Linked DNA regions of Lytechinus pictus. The protein of the gene in region 1 purifies or fractionates together with the protein of each later gene. This does not show direct contact. Links are inferred from orthologs where the notes say so. Each region holds a gene or a part of one and is shown on either strand. Other genes may lie near its edges. The genes, in order: serine/threonine-protein kinase mTOR-like and regulatory-associated protein of mTOR-like.

Region 1 (8,043 bases):
ATATTTCCCCCGATCAGTCACTTCTTATAAAACAACATAAACATGAAATAATCTCATAAGCCTTATAAAAAAAAAAAAGCGAGCGCTAAGTGCGAGCGATTTTTTTTTTTTTTTACTTTCATGTATTTTGTCCTGAAAATTTAATATTCTGGGCAATGTTATGTGTGATCCTGAACAAGATTCGTATGTAACTAGATGGTAAATGCGAACGCCAAGCGCGAGCAGAAAATTTTATTAACTGTTCTAGCATTATCGAAAAGGGACCTGTTAAGGACTGCTTACAGTTACCCACGAAGACGGTATATATTTCAATAATGCGAGCGCGAAGCGCGAGCAAATTTTTTTGACATTCCGACCTAAAAAAATTGTCATTCTAAGCACTTATTGTATTAATAAATGGGATAGGTATGTAACTAAACAATTGATGCGAGCGCGAAGCGCGAGAGGAAGAAAATTTAGATTTTAGACCTAAAAGCGGGACACTCTATTCATATTTTGTAAATCATAAATAGGATATAGTTAATTGGGTATCATTAATAATGCGATCGTGAAGCGTGAGCAGACAATTATTGATATTCTGATGTGAAACTGGATAATTTTAATATAAAGAACATGCAGGCTATCGCGCATGTTTTTGATTTAGACCTAGAATCTGGGCCGTCTGAATACATTTGTTTATGGAATACACGTAGACAATAGGAACTTGGCAAATCAAACAATTTGACCACACAGCGTGAGCTTAAAAATACTGATATGTAGACTATAAAAGGGACATTTTACAGCTAGAGCACTTAATTTTTTTAATGAAAAAAAATTGATGAAAGCTCGATGTCCGAGCTAAAATATATTTTGTATATTGACTTCAAAACTTGCTCCATATCAGCCTATTGAGCAAGATATGAATCTCATCGAACAGGCAATTCTGGCGCGAAGCGCAAGCAAAAGTTTTATATAATAACATGAAAGATTTTTTTTTTTGCAAGTCTTCCCTTCACATTATTTCATTCACTCGTCTTCCTCCTCTTTTTTTCTTATGTCGTTCTTCTTTTTTTCCTTTTTTCTTTTCTTCTTTCTCCTTTTTTTTTGCCCTGCCAATTTTTTCAGGGGGGGGCACCTGGGGGGGCACACCAAATCTCAGGGGGGGCACGTGCCCCCCCAGGCCCCCCCGTAGCTACGCCACTGTGCATACAGCTGTGCTCTAGATCTAGCACAGCCTATTCAGACTCAGGGAGCTGCGATAAAAAAATGTTGCTGCTGAGAAATCTTCCACAGAACTTTGAAAATCTCAGTCAAAGTCACCTTTTACACCAATGAAATGCAATTCTACAGTCTATATTACGAAAATCTGGCGTACCCTGATTATTTGCAAGTATTAAGAAGAGGAATTATGACCTCTCTTTTGACTCAAAAAGACCGATTTCCACATGAATTAATACACATAAAAACACATAGGCAAGTACATCACAGTCCCACGTGTGCATTTGTATGTATGTTGATACTTGGTTTCTTTCGAAGCTGTGTATTTTCTAGCCTTAAACAAACAGACAGTTTCTTTCTTTCTTGTTATAAATGACTTCTTAAACCACTCTTGAGAAAGTAAATACTTTGGGAAGGCATTTCATTGATATGAAATGTGATTTTTTTTCCTACATTTTGGCAAATATAGGGAAGGACTTTTCTCACACTTTTTTTCCAGATATAGTTTTTGCCGTTTTCTTTTTTTTTTTCCTTTTTTTTTTACAGTGGTTAAACCATTTATACCCCTTCCTATTGAATATGCCTGATTAAAAATTATTTTTCTACTGAAAATAAAATAATACAAACTAAAGGATATAAAAATAGAAATGTGCCATTCCCAAAAGGCAAGTGAAAATTATTTGCTTGGCTTTTAATTATATTCCAGTCAGAATAGACTGTTGCCACAGCTGTTAAAAAATATATGTAATGGCTTCTTAATTTTCCCCTTTTCCCCATTTTTATATTAACTTTGTTTTATTAATTTTTCTTTCATTTTCTTTTCTTTTTTCTATCTGATTTTTTTCTTTTCTTTTTTTCTTTTTTTCCCTGTTCTTTGTTTTTTTCTTTCTTCATTTTCTTTCTTTTGTTTTATTTCACTAATTTCTTTTATCATTTTTGTTTTCTTTTTGTTATATACTTTTTGAAAATTATTTTTGCTTGTTTCCCCCTTTTATGCATTATTCTAATTTTGCAGCATATTTTTCTGTGATTTTCGCCTTCTATAATATGCTGCAAAAGAGAAAACAGAAATAAACTGGATTTGGGGCATGCATAATCTAGGTTTTAGGATTCAAAGAGGAAGGAAGGAAAAACCATTGTTTTGTACATCTATCTGAGTTTGCTATGCACTATTTATTTACTTTACCATTATCTCTATACAGAGAGTTAAAAAAGTCCACACAACCTGCAAACAATACAATTCATTTATTCACTTTCAATCATTTCATTTTTACAACGATAGAAACAATTATCAAAGTAAAATAACAGCAAACAAGGTTTACATACAAGATGTATAAAGTGAAAGTAACTTAGTGGTAGTGGCTGCAGAATTAATATTTCAGAAGTTTGTTTTATTCATTTTTAATGTTTTTCTTTATATTTTTCGGGCCACCAAACTTTAATATCGGGCCACCAAAAAAAATTATTTGATGGTTTTGGTGGCCCGAACGGGCCACCACCAAAAATAGTTAATGTGGAGCCTTGCTGTACACACACCTACAGGACATTTAAATCTATTCGTTCTATGCACTCACCAATTGCTAGAATTCCACCTTTCTTCTCGTTCACGTCCTGACTTGATACCAACTCAAAGATGTGGTGGTTGAGATCGTCCATAAACGAAGTGCGCTCGTCCGCCGAAACTTCCCGCAGCTCGGTGCTCACGTAGTGCTGCAGGTTTTTCGCTGCCCTGGTGCGAACATCGTCGTGTCTGCTCTTCAATCCGCCGACCAAACTATTCATTTGTGACATTTTGACTGATTTGAAAGTACCCAATCCAACTCTGAATATGCTATATCATGTCTGCAACTTTAAAAGATAAGATGACCATGAAAAGAGAAATTCGTAGTCGTAGATTATAATAATTGACGCCTCTTTTCTCTCGGCTCTCTCTCGCCACGGCCTCAGCTCATCATCTCTTCAATAACAGGAAATGCAATTTGACCTGTGACACGCATCACCGATAGAACAAATTTCCCGAAACTGAATCTCAATAGACACTGGAATTTCCTTTTTTTCTTTAATCGGACATGAAAAAAGCGAACCTACACAAGTTTGGTCCAAGTGTAAGTGACCAAAAGTCCAAATCAAGGAATTAAACTTTTTTTTTTTAAATAGCAACAAAATTACAAAATGCGAGCGCGCGGAGCGCGAGCAAAATTTTGAGCTAAAAACGGGACAGTTCTGAAAAGTGAAAAGTCTATCAAAATTTTGTTTGAAATTATGATGTCTATTTTTTATGTTAAATGATGTTCTTAAATCTTATCTTTCAAGTGCCATTAGAAAAACAAGGAAAGGATTCATGTTTTTCAAAGGCACCACAACCTTTCATGTAGCACAAAATGAAATCATTTTAATGAATTGCAAGCTCTCCCATTAACAACGCAAACCCCCTTACCTAGGTTAACGATTTTATGAAGGAATTTTCAGTATTAAAATACATCATATTTTGAAAAAAATAATGATAAATCAAGTAGGCCTAATTCAATAGTTTTGTAAATGAATTTTGACAGAATAATTATGACAAAGACAATTTAAAGGTTAAGATCGAGGAGTCTGCTGATTAGCACGAAGTCTGATGATCGATATTTTCTCATTTTCTGCCATTTTGGCGCAAGTCTTAATTTTTTAACCCCTGACAAAAAACGTTCCATGTTTGCTCAAGCATGAACGAAACTTATTTTTCTGATGGCATTTGAAAGATAAGACTTAAGAGCATATGAACATCAAAATAGAGACATTATGATTTCAAACAAAGTGATGGACTTTTCAAAACTGTCCCGTTTTTATTGATACCCACTGTGGCTTATGAGGCAAACAAAGTTACTACGTTTAATTGTAGTTTAATTGTAATTTTCGGATTACCCGGAATTACCTGGAATTTTTTCATTAATTGAAAATGATCGGGATCGTTATCCGGCCGGAATTGCACAAAAATATGTTTCTATGTAATCTACGCACCAGGGGCGGCAGAACGTATTTTCGTTTAGGGGGCAAAGCAAAAAAAAGGCACTTATTTTGATTTGAATTTATTTTTCTTCTACATAACAATATAATATAACATAAATGTAACAAACATACACTCTAAATTACAGGGATTTAAAATAAGTCTAGATGGATTGTAGTTAGGGACCAATCGATTTCTGGATTTTGTTTTAATCCTAAAGACTTAAATTTAAATCTCAAATGATTTAAATTCAAATTAAATTTAAATCTTTCGAGATTTAAAAAAGGAATCTGAAGGATTCAATTAAATCCGGAATTCGATTGGTCCCTAACTACAGTCCATGTGGACTAATTTTAAATCCCTGTAATTTAGAGTGTACATTGACAATAAATCAGGTATAAATCATTTAGCATAAAATTAATAGCAGAAGATGGATTGCCATAGTAAGCAAAAAAATGCTTGAAAAATATGACAATGAACCGAAACATATTTTAACCATATAATTATATTATGAGCAGAATGGACAATAACAAATTATTAAAGTATCAATTAAGTATAATATAAAAAGAGAAGAACAAAATCTAACAAGCCAAAACTTGCTATAATATATATAATCAAGTAAAAAAAAAAAAATGATAATGATAATGACAAATGAAGAAGATGAAGATGATGATGATGATGATGATAGTGGTGACGGTGGTGGTGGTGGTGGAAATAATGTTAATGATGATGGAAACGGAATATTAGAACATGATTATGACACAAGAAAGTTTATTTTACATATTCCGATAGTAACATGACCTTAACTTTAGCTTTGAATGAGTGTAGGGAGCAAGAGGATTTAATTGAGTCTGGGAGAGGATTCCAAAGGTCAGGACCATGAATCTTTGTCTTACGGATCTCTGGGCAATACGTAGTTTTGGATTGACTAAATGTAAATTAGAGGAATTACGGGTGGGGTAATCATGAATGGTTTTATTCAAAGTATAAAAAAATTTTAATGAATTTGGTAGCATCCCATTGAAATACTTGAAAATGAACAATAAACTTTGTAGTGTATTAATGTCAAATACTGTCAGAGTTTTTAATTGGTAAAATAATGGTTTGGAGTGAGATGAATATTGTGAACCGATACAAATGCGAAGCGCTTTCTTTTGCAATAAGTGAATAGAATTTATTTTTGTTTTGTTTGTTGTGGCCCATACTAAATTGCTATACGTTATATACGGTAAAATCAATGAATTATAAAGCAACGCAAGTGTTTTGCAAGGAATACATTTCTTTAATTTATATAGTATACCAACATTCCTAGAAATAGAAGTTATTATATGGCGTATATGTTCGTTCCAATTTAAATTTTCGTCAATGACGACACCCAAAAACTTCGTTTGATGCTTTCTTTCAAGAGGAACATTATCTATAAATATGTTGTAATGTACGTCATTTATATGAGATTGTATGTGTTTAAAATACATGAAATTAGTTTTGTTGATATTCAGAGACAATTTGTTACATTTAAACCATAAAGATAATTTCAGTAACTCATTATTTAGTGTGTCAACTAGGGTGTTAAGGTTATAATATGAGTAAAATATGTTAGTATCATCTGCAAATAATATAAACGATAGAAGAGAAGTTGTATTAGTTAAGTCATTGATATATAATTAAAAAAAGTAATGGGCCTAATATCGATCCTTGTGGGACACCGCATCGGATTGGTAGAAAAGTTGAAGAAACATCATTAAATACAACATATTGTTTTCTATTGGTTAAATAGCTTTGAAACCAGGAAAGAGCAACACCACGAATTCCATAAGAGTAAAGTTTTTGAAGTAAAATTTGGTGGTCAATCGTATCAAAGGCCTTTGATAGATCCATAAATACCCCTATTACATGTTCTTTATTGGCTATAGAATCTGTTATTTTATCATATAATCTAATCAGTGCAAGGTCAGTTGAATGACTTTTTCTGAAACCATATTGATTTGAATTTAATAAATTATGTGTATCCAAAAACTTGTATAGCCTCTTGTAAATAATCTTTTCAATGATTTTAGATATACTAGGGAGAATCGATTTAGGTCTATAATTACTTATTTCATGAGGGTTGTCTTTCTTAAAAATAGGATTTACTTTAGCAATTTTTAAGCACTCTGGACATTTCCCAGTATTGAGTGAGAGATTAAAAATATGAGTCAGAGGGGGTGCAATAAAATGTATAATTTTTTTATATAGGCCGGCTATGTCAAAATTGGCATTTTTGTGCAACCCGATATTCACCATGAGATCATCATCTGCGTGAAGTAGTTGTGTGTAGTGAAAAGTAAAGTCCACCCCTGGAAAATGTTGATTTGATTAAAGAGAGAAAAATCAAACTAGCAAAACGCTTAAAATTTCATCAAAATCGGATGTATATTAAAGGAGAATGAAATCCTTGAAACCAGCTGAATCCATATCAAAGAGAAAAATCAAAGAAACATATTGTTGAAAGTTTGAGGAAGATTGAATGAATAATAAGAAAGTTATGAGCATTTGAATATTGAGATCACTAATGCCATGTTGATCTTCCCATTGGCAATGCGACCAAGATCTGTGATATGTCACACACGTACAACTCCCTCATTACTTTAGTACTTATTTCACTTATTCTCACTTTTATAGTATATCACAAGGTGAGGTGTTCTCTTTATGAGAGGACAAGTCCGGGGACAAGTACAGAGGTTTCACAACATTATATCATTGATGAATCGTTTGTCATATGATGAGAATGATCGAGCAAAAAGAGATGTTTTGGGGTATATTTTCAGTGTCCAAAAGGGGAGAGTTGTTCATCTGTGACATCATAGATCTTGGTCGCATTGCCAATTGGAGGATCTCCATAGCATTAGTGATCTCGACATTCAAATGCTCATAACTCTTCTATTGCTAGTCCTATTTTACTCAAACTTTTGTTGATCTTATTCTTTGATTTTACTGCTTTCACAAAAGCTAACTTGCTCCAAGAGTTTCATTCTCCTTTAAGAAAGTTATGACATTTTAAAGTTTTGCTTATTTGTCATAAGACAGTGAAATGCACAACTCAAAGAGGCAGACGATGGTGTCCCTCACTCACTATTTCTTTTGGGTTTTTTTTGTTTGAATTATACAATATTTCATTTTGTATAGATTTGACAGTGAGGACCAACTTGACTGAATCATACAATATTTAAAGGTCAAGTCCACCTCAGAAAAATGTTGATTTGAATCAATAGAGAAAAATCAGACAAGCACAATGCTGAAAATTTCATCAAAATCGGATGTAAAATAAGAAAGTTATGACATTTCAAAGTTTCGCTTATTTTTAACAAAATAGTTATATGAACGAGCCAGTTACATCCAAATGAGAGAGTCGATGACGTCACTCACTCACTATTTCTTTTGTTTTTTATTGTTTGAATTATACAATATTTCAATTTTTACGAATTTGATGATTAGGACCTCCTTGCCTGAAGCACATGCAAAATGTTAAAATAATGGAATTCCACGTGTTCAGGGAGGAATGAAACTTCATTTCACATGACAATGACAAGAAAATCAAAATATTTCATATTTCATATAATAAAATACAAAAGAAATAGTGAGTGAGTGATGTCATCGACTCCCCCATTTGGATGTAACTGGCTCGTTCATAAAACTATTTTGTTAAAGATAAGCGAAACTTTGAAATGTCATAACTTTCTTATTTTACATCCGATTTTGATGAAATTTTCAGTGTTATGCTTGTTGAATTTTTCTCTTTTTATTCAAATCAAGTTTTTGTTGGGGTGGACTTGTCCTTTAAACAATGCTCATTCCACATGTTCAGGGAGGAATTAATCGTT
Region 2 (7,324 bases), on another chromosome or scaffold:
AATCTGTTTCAAGTTGAAGTGGAATCCAACCGGAAAGGAAAGTTCTTTAAAAAAAAAAAAACCAAGAAAAGCAGGATTGTGAAAGTTTTAATAACAAAAACAATTTGGAGGTTGGAAAGACAGAACATAGGGGATTCCGACTTCATTATATCAGATATAAATAATTGGTAGTCTATTTACATTGATAACGGTCTGACTTCGTCAAATAGAGCGATGTCATTATACAGGGCCACTAGCGTACCTACGGGGGGGGCAGAGGGGGCAGTCTGCCCCCCCTGACGAGCCACAACCCATGCAAAAGACGTATCCCTGCCCCCCTAACGAGCTTGAAGACCTTTATTGGCCCCCCTGACGAGCTTGAAGACCTTTTTTTTTTTTTTTTTTTGCTTGTCAAATTTTTATCTGGTACGAAATCCTTCATTTGTGATTGAAGACATTTTTTTTTTTTTTTTTTTTTTTTTTTTTTGCTTGTCAATTTTTTTTTGTTACGAAATCCTCCATTTGTGATTGAAGACCTTTTTTTTTTTTTTTTTTTTTTTCGCTTGTCAAATTTTTTTCTGGTACGAAATCCTTCATTTGTGATTGAAGACTTTTTTTTTTTTTTTTTTTTTTTGCTTGTCAAATTTTTTGCCCCCCCTGTGAAAAATCCCAGGTACGCCACTGTACAGGGCCCGTTGCATAAAAGTTACTATTACGGTAACTTTGCCATCTAATGGTAACTGCCATGGTAACAATGCTAATCGGCCAATCAGAATCAAGGATGTCGGGGAGTTACTATTGGATTTTGCAACGGTCCCCAGGTGGTCAGAATCAAGTATTTTTGCAATGCTAATGATCCACTAATCCTAATGGTTTCCATGAAAAATCCCTCTTTACCAATCCCAGTTTCCCCTTTTGGGTAAAGGTGGAGTTGGGAAATGTTTCTAAATTCCTCTCCATGCAAATAATGAAGCAGACTGGGGTTATCCGAGATACCATGCTAGTTGAGGCAGTGAGATGGATAAAAAGCTTGTGAGTGAAAGAACAATTGGATGATGTTTAGAATTGGTTGATGAAAATGGCAGAAGGGGTTATCAGAAATTTGTGCAACTTGAGGTAGTGAGACTGAGATACTGCACATTAGAAAATGAATGAAAAAAAGATGGTGTGTGATTTTAGTATTATGCAGTGTTCAGACTCCAGGGGAGCATTTCATCACCATTTTCGTCCCGACAAGTGGTCAAATCTGACAACTTTCCTTGATTTTGATTGGCTGAGAAGCACTGTTACTGTGGTAACTGTCGGATATAACCCGGCTTGTCAGATAAATTGTCCGAGTCCTTTTATGATATGCTCCCCAGAAGTTGAAGGTCTGGTTTATCAGAGATACATGCGAGTTGAGGTAGATGAAGATCAAGAAGGAATGAAGAGGACGACGTGGGCATTGCCGTGTTGTACAGTGTTTTCAGAAGTGAACGAAAGTGGCTTATGTTATGTATTGCACCAAGTATGCATGGCTGTCTTGATAAACTAATGAACCTGATTATTTCCTTTTAATTTAGTTTGCCACTAGCTCGTGGAATGTCAGTCTTGCCAAGTCTGAATACATGCCTTCAGACTTGGCCAGATTTGACCTGACAGTAATAAAACAATATACATCCAGTTTTTTTTTTTTAATTAAGTTTAATATGAATTTGTGTACCACTATGAAATAAAAAAAGAGCCAATAGGTATTAACAGTAATGGGTTATGAGAAGTGGGTGTGGAGGGGGGGGGGGGGGATGTCACAAAAGGTATCATCCAAGATGGTCTTATCCCATTTTGTCTAATAACTTTCAGGTCTAATTACGACTACCGACGTTTTCCATAGCCTTGATTCCCATTTAGTCTGTATTGATGAACTACATGTATTTGTGAACTAAATTTTCATTTTACGAAGTAAAACAAGTGGAAATTAGACAGACTGGGTATTAGATTAAAGGAGAATTGGATTAAGTGGGCATTAGATCAAGCAATTACATCAAATTTGACCACACAAAAAAGATAATCTAAATTTAGAGAACAATTATTCAAGGATATATTATACATATGAATTTTCCTGTGCATTGAAAGAGCAGCACCTCTTTATAAATACATGCATCCCTGATGCCATACTGATTAAGTGATTTAGGTATTAACCAATACATGTATTCATTCAATAAAACATTCAATAGAGTACTTTACACAGGACAAAGAAAATTGGTAAATAGGAAATATATCGAGAGAGATAATGTACATATTCACATTGTATTGAATATAGAAATGAGGGCACATCCCATTATAAATTCTAATCAAACTTGAATCATGGTCCTTGGGCCATCCTGACACGCCTCTTTGTGATGAAATGGGGACAGTTATCCCCGCCTCCCCCCGGGGGCCCCACCCTCGCAAAAAAGGGGTTCATTGCCCTGCCTTAGCCAATTAGACTAGTAATTGGATATAATTGTAAAGCCACAGGTCAACCCCATTAAGGGTCATTTATTAAAGGAGAATGAAACCCTTGAAACCAGCTGAATCCATATCAAAGAGAAAAATTAAAGAAACATTGTTGAAAGTTTGAGGAAGATTGAATGAATAATAAGAAAGTTATGAGCATTTGAATATTGAGATCACTAATGCCATGTAGATCCTTCAATTGGCAATGCGACCAAGATCTGTGATGTCACACACGTACAACTCCCTCATTACTTTAGTACTTATTTCACTTATATTCTCACTTTTATAGAGTCTATCACAAGGTGAGGTGTTCTCTTTCTGAGAGGACAAGTACAGAGGTTTCACAACATTATATCATTGATGAATCGTTTGTCATAATGATTAGAATGAGCAAAAAGAGATGTTTTGGGGTATATTTTCAGTGTCCAAAAAGGGGAGAGTTGTTCATCTGTGACATCATAGATCTTGGTCGCATTGCCAATGGGAGGATCTCCATAGCATTAGTGATCTCGACATTCAAATGCTCATAACTCTTCTATTGCTAGTCCTATTTTACTCAAACTTTTGTTGATCTTATTCTTTGATTTTTCTGCTTTCACAAAAGCTAACTTGCTCCAAGAGTTTCATTCTCCTTTAAGGCTGAAAAGCGTGGTATGTTGTAATTGATAAAAACGTATCTGTCACCCTGACAAAAAGTTTATTGTAAAAATAGAAGAAAAAAAAATGAAAATATTGCTGAAGGTCTGAGAAAAATCTACTAGAATCTTAATTTGTCTGAGAAAAATCTACTAGAATTTTAATATGTGACGTCATATGCGAGCAGCTTTCCTACATATCGTATTGTAAAAAATCAATGAAATGTCATTTTCTTAGAATATTGAAAATGTTCTTTTTACTGCACCTTCAGGTATACTAGACAAATCATTTCACGCCTGTTCCTAAAAGGAACTGAACAGAAGTCATCACGAACCATCAGTGGCGTACCTAGGATTTTTCACAGGGGGGGCAAAACCGTCCGCCAAAAAATTTGACAAGCAAAAAAAAAAAAAAAAAAAAAAAAGGTCTTCAAGCTCGTCAGGGGGGGGGGGGGGCAAAAAAGGTCTTTCAAGCTCGTCAGGGGGGGCAGGGATACGTCCTTTGCATGGGTTGTGGCTCGTCAGGGGGGGGGCAGACTGCCCCCTCTGCCCCCCCCTGTAGGTACGCTAGTGCGAACCATGAAAAAAATGAAATTCATGCATTTTATATTACATAAGATATGGGGCAGCTGCTCGTTTATCATGGGCCGCGGAACGGTTTTCAAAGTGGGAGGCTGAGCCAAAAGTGGGGGGGGGGGGGGGGCTGACCATGCAAAAAATCACAATCATATGGTAATTTTTACTTTTTTTGTATATGGTTTTGGAAAAAAGTGGGGGGGGGGCTGAAGCCCCCGCGGCCCCTGTTTATGACGTCACATATCCAAAACTGAAAATTCTCATAACTTTCTTAATCTTTAATGAATTTTCCTCAATCCATCACCAATATTTTTCATTATTTTACAGGTGCACGAGTAACGTTAACCTCCCCGCCCCCTTTTTTATAATTTTTTACGGTAATTCCCATAATATCGACCGGGCGTAAACGTGACGTCATTCGTAAATACACGCTGGATGAATGAAAGAAAATGGCGACACATGTTTCTCCACAATAGTTGTCGGTAGATCATAAAACTCCCTTCTAAAACCACTTTATTAAAGTTTTGCCACGTATTCTGTCTGATCACAAGAAAGTATTTACAACGTTTCATCACATTTTGACGTTCATATCTTCTTTGAGGCTTCTACTTTCGCAAGAACAACTAAAACATCGAAAATGTACGAGGACATCACTGAATCTGAGGAGAGCGATCTGTGTGATTGGCAGTTACCGCTTGCATACATGAAGAAACGGCACACTGACCCGATTGAAGGAAGCAAAACAGAAACACAAACATGGCGAATGAAAGAACGGGTATTTCCATTTTCTTTTTCTGTAGATCTACTAACTTAAATTTCCTGTGTTGATGCACATATCTGCTTTAATTCAATGACATAAAGTAGAAATGGTTATCTATTTTATGAAGGCAGCTAAATAAAAAAAAAAAATTATAAACACTTCATCAAAATCAAATCATGATTTTCGTGAATTTCTCTGTTTCTGGGATCATAATCAAGATAAGAGAATACTGACATTTTGTATTATTCCCAATTTATATTGAATAAAGTGACAAATTTCAGTTATGGTATTGATGAAATAATTCCCCTGAACAGAATTGCAGATGCAGTTTTTAAAATAACTAAGTTATTAATCTAGTCGGTCTAACGTTAAGTTGAACTTACTTACTGTCAAACGTTAGGGGTATTAGACTGATCAGAATTAATCAGCATGATCAGATCATAAATATAATGACTTTTACGTACTGATGAAATAAAGTTATTGAAAAAATACAAAAAGCATGCATCTCAATCCTCAGTAAACGTTTTAGACAATTTTCCAGAAATTCCAGGTCAAGGGGTCTATGCCTAGATCGATAGATCTAGGCCTAATATAGTACCGTATCTAATGTTGGGGGAAATTTTCTAAAACTATTAAAAAGTGAATTTTGAGTAACAGATTTTTTAAGGCAATCAAACACAGGTATGACTAGAAAAAATGCATAAAAACGTTGCTTTCCAGGCCTGGTTCAGATTGATGTGTTAAGTGTTTCATAAATTATGAAAAAGATCTGTTTTTGACTGACAAAAAGAGGAAAAGGGTTGACCCTCTAATTTTCTGGAGGTAATTCACTTGCCAGCATAGAGACAATCTGGATTTCCTGCTATTGGCATGTTTTTTATCAGCTTGGCTGCAGTTCTCTGCACTTTCCAAATCATTTGGTTTAAGAGTTAAAAGCTTGCTGGCCTTTTAATATGTATTTTGATATTTTTGGGACTTTTCCATCTGGTTATCATACATTTTTATGTTACAAAATGCAAATCATCCAAGGCCAATAAAGGGGGGGGGGATCCAAGGCATTGAAGGCCTTTGATGATAAAGCAGGGGCCTGTTTCATAAAGGACTTGCAACTGTTGTAACTTTGCCATAATGGCAACTGCCATGGCAACAGGCCTCAGCAGGCTTTATGAAATGGGCCCCAGGCCTCAACCCCGCCTCAACATTAGCAGTGGCCCAGTGTTTTTCTATTGTCTTAGGGCCACCAAATATGCATGAAATTAATGATTTTGGTGGACTGACCTGGGGGCCGTTTTATAAAGCTGTTCGTAAGATAAGAACGACTGGTGATCCTTTCTTTCGCGCTAAACCATGCCCTATGGTGTATACCATTTACCAAAAGAAAGGATCACCAGTCCTTCTTGTAGTCGTTCTTATCTTACGAACAGCCTTATGAAACACCCACCAGGCCACCAAGAAAAAAAGTTGTGTGGAGCCTTGTGTATATGAATGTAAAATTCACTCCTGTAGGAAGTATGTGACTGAGAAGGTACCATTTATGATGCATTTAGTGATGGTAACCTTTGGTTGTGTACATTTAAATGTATGTGTACAGCAATCTACAAATGTACATGTACACTGTAGACCTACTGAACATGTGGTTAATTCCCCCCCCCCTTTATAATGTAATTTTTACTGCTCATCATATGTAATAATTGTCAAGGTGGGTTCAGAATTTCATTTTTTATGAAATTGAACTTCCAAAGTATTAATTATACTCTGTGTTTAATTGTGTGAAAAACTTATATAGTTCACAGAATGAATATGTATTCAAAGATGAACTGTATGAATCTAGGAAACAATACTTTTAAGAAGTTTTGTCCTTATGACCTGGTTTTACCCACAAAAAGAACCCTTTGATGATTTACTTTAAACACACACACAAAAGCACTTGCAGTTAGATAGAGAAGATATTTGAGCGGGGGTCCACAAAAGTGTTAAATCAGAACTTGAAATACTAGATATGGGAGATAATTATTGGGCTCAGAAATCATCATCCGTACTTTAATCATTTGAAGACACTTTAGAATTTTAGTTGATAAGAAATTCAAATTGATATTTGGAGCAAGCAATTATAAGTTCAAAGTTCTCAAAACAAGTCATCGATGTTGCCATTGTAGTCATTTAGAAAATTTGTTTCACGTGCATGCACATGTGCCATAATGTAATTTCAAAATGTTTTCAGAGCAAAGATGCAAAGAAATGAGCCCCCATAAATCCCATTATGTTCAGTACAATCTACCTTACAGTGTTACACTGAATGTGCAATACATCTGCAATGTAGAAAAAACGAGCCCTCTCCCCCACATTTCCACCAGTGTTTAAAAATCTCCCCTCCCCTTCCTTTAGTTGAAATCCAGCTTATCTTTGAAATAGAGGGAGCCAAACTATGGTTATTTTTCAAAATGAAGATTGAATATTTCTTGAATAATTTTAAACCAATGAAAGGCTGTACAATACTGTTTGTTTTTTCATGATGTGTCTAGAGGAGGATTGCAATAATGCTTACGGTAAATTTTACTGTAGTGTAAATTGATCTCAAGGTTTGTGGGGGGGGGTGACATTTGAACCAAACCATATCACTAATTAATCTTTGTGGTATGTCATTATATTGCGCCCCCCCCCCTCTTTACCCATTAATAAACCCTGATACATTTATGTAAATCTTTAAAATGAATTATGAACTGATTATGCAAAAGTGTGAAGGGAGGGAATTATATCTTAACAAACAGAAAAAAAAAGAGCTTCGGTAGTTCGATATCGTGAATTTAGTGAAAGAATATCTCCGTGCATGTCAACCTTATGTATTACTTGTGGGGGAAAAAACTATAGTATAAATTAACTAATAATTCCTGAAGGAGCT

The links.
Region 2: the proteins of serine/threonine-protein kinase mTOR-like (region 1) and regulatory-associated protein of mTOR-like purify together in Drosophila melanogaster (affinity purification with western blotting; 3 studies listed by BioGRID, with this or other methods). This does not show direct contact. The link is inferred for Lytechinus pictus from reciprocal best matches to the Drosophila melanogaster genes mTor and raptor.

Annotation. Positions count from the first base shown.
Region 1 is NC_087258.1:3,792,083-3,800,125, forward strand, and holds the start of serine/threonine-protein kinase mTOR-like, read right to left. Parts: upstream 3,174-8,043; 5' UTR 2,989-3,173; coding exon 2,772-2,988; intron 1-2,771. UniProt on the Drosophila melanogaster protein: Promotes cell and tissue growth, maintains tissue homeostatis and controls responses to environmental stress and aging. Regulates growth during animal development by coupling growth factor signaling to nutrient availability. Central regulators of autophagy.
Region 2 is NC_087254.1:16,254,154-16,261,477, forward strand, and holds the start of regulatory-associated protein of mTOR-like, read left to right. Parts: upstream 1-4,091; 5' UTR 4,092-4,302; coding exon 4,303-4,440; intron 4,441-7,324.